Sus scrofa: one gene and its partner. The protein of the gene in region 1 interacts with the protein of each later gene in a pairwise test. Links are inferred from orthologs where the notes say so. Each region holds a gene or a part of one and is shown on either strand. Other genes may lie near its edges.

The links.
Region 2: the proteins of KCTD6 (region 1) and CTNND1 interact in binary tests that used the Homo sapiens proteins (3 or more experiments, as listed by UniProt). The two-hybrid records come from large-scale screens. The link is inferred for Sus scrofa from reciprocal best matches to the Homo sapiens genes KCTD6 and CTNND1.

Annotation. Positions count from the first base shown.
Region 1 is NC_010455.5:40,216,949-40,220,511, forward strand, and holds the end of KCTD6 (BTB/POZ domain-containing protein KCTD6), read left to right. Parts: exon of another isoform or gene 1-138; 5' UTR 139-181; coding exon 182-208; intron 209-1,708; coding exon 1,709-2,395; 3' UTR 2,396-3,143; downstream 3,144-3,563. UniProt on the Homo sapiens protein: Probable substrate-specific adapter of a BCR (BTB-CUL3-RBX1) E3 ubiquitin-protein ligase complex mediating the ubiquitination and subsequent proteasomal degradation of target proteins.
Region 2 is NC_010444.4:13,206,395-13,210,664, forward strand, and holds the start of CTNND1 (catenin delta-1), read right to left. Parts: upstream 2,838-4,270; 5' UTR 2,591-2,837; intron 1-2,590. UniProt on the Homo sapiens protein: Key regulator of cell-cell adhesion that associates with and regulates the cell adhesion properties of both C-, E- and N-cadherins, being critical for their surface stability.

The sequences.
Region 1 (3,563 bases):
CTTTGCCTTGTAGCAGGTTTTAGTTGAGCAAAAATGAGTAGTTTTCTGGTGTTTGGCCTACTCTGTTGGGTGAGAAAACCTTTCTTCTCTGTTTTCATGGTTACATGCTCTATCACATGTCTTTTTCTCTTCCCCAAGTTTCCCTGGAACCTGGGCTCCCCGAGACGCAGCACTGGAGCAGATGGATAATGGAGACTGGGGCTATATGGTGAGAGGCTTTTGCAGATGCATTCTGAAGTCTGGCAAATTATTTTTTGTGTCTTTTCCCCCTATGTAATATATTCTTAGGTATATTTCATAAGAATGAAAATTATAAGTGATGTAACTCTCCCAATTAATTTAGATGCATTTGGGGGGTGTTTTTATTTTGTTCAGTGTTTTTAGGTAAGCAAGCTAAACATGGAGTCTCTTTGTAACTTTTTATGACTTGTTTTTTCAGTCTTTATGTTGCTCCTAAAGCTCTTCCTTCATAGAATTGTAACTCTTCAGTGTCTAGTAGGTAACAAGAGAGGACAGGGAGTTCCTGTCGTGGTGCAGTGGTTAACGAATCCGACTAGGAACCATGAGGTTGGGGGTTTGGTCCCTGCCCTTGCTCAGTGGGTTAAGGATCCGGCATTGCCGTGAGCTGTGGTGTAGTTCGCAGACGCTGCTCGGATCCCACGTTGCTGTGGCCCTGGCGTAGGCCAGTGGCTACAGTTCCGATTTGACCCCTAGCCTGGGAACCTCCATATGCCGAGGGAGCGGCCCAAAGAAATAGCAAAAAGACAAAAAAAAAAAAAAAGAAGAGAGGACATTTTCTTGTGGTTGGGGAGGTTGACAGTTGAGAAGGTGCCACTTCTTTCACGAGCACAGGTGCAGGTGTCCTCCTATTATTTGAAAATGTTTGTTAAGAAATATTTTACTTGCCGAGTACCTATCTTTACTTGTCTTATTTTATTTCTTACATGTGATTTCTAAAACCAAAGGTAGGTATTATTTAGAGAAGCTTGCTTTTCAAAATTAAAGGCCAGATTGCCACATTAATGTTACAAAAGTAAATACACTATCAGATGACGCAAGTTGAAAGCTGCTATTAGCTTTCGGCTATATGAGATTGTATCGACCAAACTGTGTATTTTAAACTCAGTGTTTGGTACTGTTATTTCCATGAAAAAGGAAGATGAAGTCTACACAAACTGGAAAAAAAAAAACCAAAAACCTCATGATTCCCCTGCCTTTTTTTTTTTTGGGAGGAAAAGACAAAGAAATACTGAATGTAGATGTCTTTATGTTATTAAATAATTTTGATTCTATTTTATATTAAATTGAATTAAGAAAAAAAGAAAGTCTCTTTTTTAAAAAATCAGAATAAAACTTAAATGAGTATATTTTAGTTTGGCCTTTCTCTTCCCATAATATACTCTGACCTGAAAACTTCTTCCAGTTACTGGATCTGAAATTAAATGGCTTTGGAAGCTGTGTCCTCCTTTCTCAGTGTAAGGCTTTGAAAAATTGGACTTACCCTTTTTTTCTGTTGGAAACAAATGTTAGATCCCTTCATCTGGGTAGGTTTCACACTAAAAGTAAAGCTATTTTGCCTCAGTGGATTGCTGTGTTCTAGTCTGAAAGAATCTGTTGCTTTTTTTGTTACCATTAATTTTCTTAATTTGTCAAAGTTAAGATTTAAAAAAAAAATTGAGATGACTGATCATTTTTTAAAAAATTTCAGATGACTGACCCAGTCACGTTAAATGTAGGTGGACACTTGTACACAACATCTCTCACCACGTTGACACGTTACCCGGATTCCATGCTTGGAGCTATGTTTGGGGGGGACTTCCCCACAGCTCGAGATCCTCAAGGCAATTACTTCATTGATCGAGATGGACCTCTTTTCCGATATGTCCTCAACTTCTTGAGAACTTCAGAGTTGACTTTACCCCTGGATTTTAAGGAATTTGATCTGCTTCGGAAAGAAGCAGACTTTTATCAGATTGAGCCCTTGATTCAGTGTCTCAATGACCCCAAGCCTTTGTATCCTATGGATACTTTTGAAGAAGTTGTGGAGTTATCTAGTACTCGGAAGCTTTCTAAGTATTCCAATCCAGTAGCTGTCATCATAACCCAGTTAACCATTACCACCAAGGTCCATTCCTTACTAGAAGGTATATCAAACTATTTTACGAAGTGGAATAAGCACATGATGGACACCAGAGATTGCCAGGTTTCCTTTACTTTTGGACCCTGTGATTATCACCAGGAAGTTTCTCTTCGAGTCCATCTGATGGAATACATTACAAAGCAAGGTTTCACAATCCGCAACACCCGAGTGCATCACATGAGTGAGCGGGCCAACGAGAACACAGTGGAGCACAACTGGACTTTCTGCAGGCTGGCCCGGAAGACCGATGACTGACCTTCAGCCTGGGAGAAGTTCCTACAAATGGACTCCCCAAGGAGATTGAAGAGGCTGTTTTTTGTTTGTTTGGTTTTTGTTTTTGTTTTTTAAATCACAGTGTGAGGATTTTTTTTTTTTTTTAATATTTGTATTTATTTGAAGGCATTGGGGACCAGCAGGAAGTTTTGTGCTTTAGCAGACTCCTCTTTGTGTGGTTCCCTTCACCCTGAGTATGCATGTGCCTGTTCAGAGCCTCCAGATACCTTTTTTATAAAAAGAAGTCTGAAAATCATTATGGTATATAATCTATCCTTAACAACCCTTTTTTTATTACAGTGCTAAGATGATTTCTGATTAAACAGTTTCTAACTCAACTAGAAGGCTAAAAATGCAGGAATGAAAGAAAAAACGGAGTACTCATGATGATGCCTTTGAGAAAAATCAGAACATCATATAGGGTGACCTAGTTTTCAAACCAATAAGCAGTATTGTAATATTAAACGAAAACTGTTCAATCATTTAAAAGTACTTGTTAAGTACTGCTTTTACAGTTATGACAACTGTTTCTTTCTATGCATATAAATCAAGCAACCAAATATCTGTAGCCATGGAAATGTCTGACTAGAAATATTTATATTGGATTCTGAATACAAAATGTCCCTGTGGTAGAAATCTTACTTCTTAGGCCTGGTAAGGTATAATTCCCAAGTGTACTGTCTACCAGGAAAACAAAAAACCAATAATAAAAAATGAAATGTGAAAATTAGGTTTGTATTTATTGATTATTATTAAAGGGAGAAAATAATATTCCTTATCTAAAATATGCATTGTTTGTTTTATGCCATAATAGATACTGCCCCGTGTTGGTGGTTCAGTGAACAATTCTTGCCACCCAATAAATACTGCCTGAGGTACATTAGTATTTGATGCTGGAGGACTCAGTGGAACTTTAGAATGCAGTTGATAGAATTCTCTGCTGTTGAAGTAGCGAATTTATGGAATTATTAGTTTTGTCTAAAAGAGTGCATATTTGGACAATGAACATATAGTTTGCCAAATTTCTTTTGAATAGGACTTGTTTTGAAGATTTGTAGATTTTTCTTTAGTGAGCCACCAATTGCCATTGCTCTGTGACCCTTATTCCAGCTCTATGGACAAACTTGACTCTTCGGCCCCACAAATGTAT
Region 2 (4,270 bases), on another chromosome or scaffold:
TCAAATTCCTTAAAAAACAAACAACAACAACAACAACAAAGGGTTGTTGTGGAAAATTAAGCAAATAGTTTATGCAAAATGCTTAGCACTCAGCAAAAAAACAAGCCGGGGGTTGGGGGAGGGAGGGCTGGCAGTAGGTAACAGGGGACTACCAGGTACCAAAATAGAAAGCAGTAAATTATACAAAGCTAATCATTTTGTTATTTCCATGCTTAATGTATTTGCACATCCATCCCATCTCTCATCCCTAGAGAGCAACTACCTTATAAACCTAACGCTGAATTGCGATTACTCGAAGCTTTTTTTTTTTTTAAAGGTTTCCAATTTTTATCCTAGCTGAAAGAATATGTTCTAACCCCCTGACTCTCCATAATTGGAACTCTAGGAAAGGCACTAGGACTCTAAGCATCCAAAAGAGACCCCCACCTGGAACACAGGCCATACCTTAGTCATGTAACAAAGAAACCAACAGTATATAGGAGTCACACAAGCAAAGAAAAATCTGTACAACTCATACTTACTCGTCATTTTTCACCCCCAAGTCAAAATGAGGAGCCAAACAAAAAATAACAGATTTACTTATTCACATCCCTTATTATATCTCCTAGAAGAACAGGTAGAGGTGAGGTAAAAGACAAGTCTTCTTCCATCTTATCATCCAAAAGGTTCCAGTAGTACACACCCAGTCAAAACAATGCCTCAGTTCGTGGAAATAGTCCTGGTCGCTAGTCAACTAGAATGCTCACTGCAGCTACACAAAGCCCAGTATTTAAAGCTGGACCCAAAGCACTACTACCATTCAGTCAGCCAGAACCTATTTTCAAACTGCCTTTGTACTCCTTCAAATTCCCTCATTCCTCCCCCTAAAGGTTGAGTGGGAAACCAACACTCTGGCAGCAACATGACCAATCCTCCAAAGATCCAAGAACCCCCCCACCCCCCTTAGGCTGGCGTCAAGGCAGAGAGAGCATTTGAAAGAAAATTTGGAAATGAAATAAGAACTACAGCCCAATGGACTGTACACATTGTCCTTTTTTTCTTTGTAACTGCGCTTGCTATAATTAGGAGATACTCCTAATTATACAGACATTAAAATCTTACTGTAGCTCTTGCATAAATTATATTAAACGGAGAAACAAAGTTCTGTTTCCCTTGAAGACACAACCTTGTAAGAATGAACTCATCTTTCAAGAAACACTTTTGTTCTGGAAAAGAAATCCAAGGAAGTATTCTAGTCTAAAAAGAATTGAGGGGTGAGGGGCACAAAATCAGAGGATTATTATACATACATACCAGTTTAAAGCTAATGAGCAGCTAACACAGGCCCATCTTTTTACAATTAGGGCAGTATCTACTGCAGTTAGTTTTCAGACTGATTCTCATTTTCAAAGAAGATGGAAGAAAACATCCAGTTTTCAGTTACTGATGAGTTGGCTATACAATTATCTAGAATCAGTATTTTTGAAAGAATGTATTTGCAAAACAAAAACTAATCTTAAGATTAAATAGAAGATATGAAAGCACAGTCATGAGCCTTCAGCTCTTACAGATTTCTGATTTCATGGCTAATTAACCAAAGGAAAAACTCACCTCCAAAAAACAACTTTCAGTTTGGTTTAAAAGTAAGAATTCCCCTTTTGCTTTCTCAAATGCCTTCTAAACACTAAAGTTGGTATAGGTATTTTAGTCTTAGCCTATCATTATTTTAATCCAAGGCCCTTTCAGAGAGCACAAAGCTCAAAATATTTTCATGTGTATCGCCACTTTACTCAGGTGAACGCAAAAGCATGATTAGAATTTCCTTATCCCTTTAAGCACAGAAACCAAGGGTTATCGTACATGCCAACTCAACCTACACCTCCACAAACCTTTGCCATCAAGGTAGTTGTAGAAGGAAGGAGATGGCGATTCAGTTACCATGGATCCATTTGTTTTCTTTTATAAGGCAAAGCAGGGAGCTAAGTCTAGCCGGAGAATGAGGCTCCCACCCACCGCACCTGGAAAAGTAAAAGAAGGATCCACCCAGGAACAGCAGGGCTGAAACTGATCTGGGCTGTTCAAACTCCAGAGGAAAAAATACCACCATTTAAGCTGCAAAACTCCCTGCAACTTTCCACTTTCACAAATCCAATGATTAAAGGGAGGGAAAAAAAAGTTTTAAAACATGAATAACTAGCTTCCGACCCGGACAAATTCCTTTCCCAACCCACACGCAACATGCCAAAAAACCCAACTTTTGGTTTGGGCTCTGAAAACAGAAGTTTGTTAGCCTAACCTAGAAAAAAAATATGAAATAAAAGAACACACCAAAATGCAAATTTACAGAATTGCCCTCACCCCTCCGAATCTATTCATCTCCCTATATTAGAGAGACCCAGAAGTTTGTTCCTGGTTCTTGAATATTTTACTTTGTTTCAAATATAATACCAAAATTCCCCAAATGAGGAAAATTAATAACCGCTTAAAAGTTACCCATCAGCGTAACAGAATCTCTTGTTTCTAAATTCCCTCCGGTTACCTTAAGACAAAAATTCGACTTGGCTTATCCTCCTTCACCCATCTATACACATATTTTTAAAAAGGCACACACCTCAAATGTGGACTTCTAGAAACCAGTCCTCTAAGAAAGAAACCCAAGCCTTCGTCAACGTGCTGAGAAAGACAAATCCAGCAAGGGAGTTGATTTTTCGCCACCTCTTCCTCCTTTCAGGGTCTTTCCTGCTCTTCTTTCTCTCTCTCCCTCTTTTTTTTTCTCTCAGATCCAACACCTAAAATGGAAGTTGCACCCAGCCAAAGGCTAGGGAGCCTGGGTGGTGACAAACTGATCTGGCAGCCCTACCCCTCGCTTTCCTAAGTGATGTCAGCCCCTGGGAACTTCCAATCGGAGCCAGGCATAAATCAGGGAGCTGATTTTATCCAATAGGAAACTTTATTATAGGAATTAAAAAAAAAAAAAAGGAGAGAGAGGAGGGGAAAAAGAGACAGGGGGAAGTTTTATATATATTTATATTTAAAGTGGAGACTGTACGATCTCTGAGGAATTACTGCAGAGCTGGGGGGTTAGGGGAAGGGGGCTTAGGGAACAAGGGCTTTTTAAAACGACAGGGCCTAAGCGCGTCAGTTCTCTTTGATGCTGGGGTTCTTACTCCTTCCTTTTTGGGTGGGGAAGCAAATAAAAGCTGATTTTATTTGCCTACTGCTATTTAGTTTGTTGCTTTCTACCCTAAAGCATTTTCCCAAAGGAAGACAAGAAGGGAAGGAGAGAGAAATCCTAGAAACAGGACTACAATGTCTTGAATGGGATGGTAGGGGATATCTGAGGTAAACACTCAATTTCATTGTTTTGGTTTAAATGCATTTAGGCTGATTAGGAAAAAATAAATGCTTGGACTTGTTCATACTTTTTAGTGTGTATGCTTTCAATGAGAAGGAAACTGAATCCTCTAGGTTATTGAGGAAAATCAGTCTTCTCATTTATCCCCAAATCAAAATAATGTGGCATTGAGTGGGAGAATAAATGATATCCCATAAACAAGCAATATATTTAGAGTAGATAACAGCATGTGTAAGGAAAAGAAAGTCTCACGTCTAGAAAATTCAATTTATTTGTGAACTTGAAGCTTAAGACATCCATTCCCTTTTTACGCTTGACCTAAATAGAGGATAAAAACAAGTATTCTTTTTCTGAGTTAAGAGTTATATTATAGGAGTTCTCATCGTGGCGCAGTGGTTAACGAATCCGACTAGGAACCATGAGGTTGCGGGTTCGATCCCTGGCCTTGCTCAGTGGGTTAAGGGTCTGGCGTTGCCCTGAGCTGTGGTGTAGGTTGCAGACGCGGCTCAGATTCCGCATTGCTGTGGCTCTGGTGTAGGCCGGTGGCTATAGCTCCGATTCGACCCCTAGCCTGGGAATCTCCACATGCCGCGGGAGTGGCCCAAGAAATGGCAAAGACAAAAATAAATAAATAAATAAATAAAATAGGGGTTAAGAGCATAGATTCTGTAGTCTGACTGGCTTCAAATTTTCCTCCTCTGTGAGTACACTTACTCAAGTAAATGTACTATATCCTCTGTGACCTTGGAAAGGTTATATAACCTTTCTGTGACTCGGTTTCTTAACCATAAAATGGAGATAATAACTATCTCACAGGACTGTTGTAATTAAAATACACACAAAGTTCTTAAAACAATGTATGCCATATAGTATAAATTCAATGAGTATCTACCAGTATCTACCCTGCCCAAAAATAGTGGCAGTGTCTCATCATTG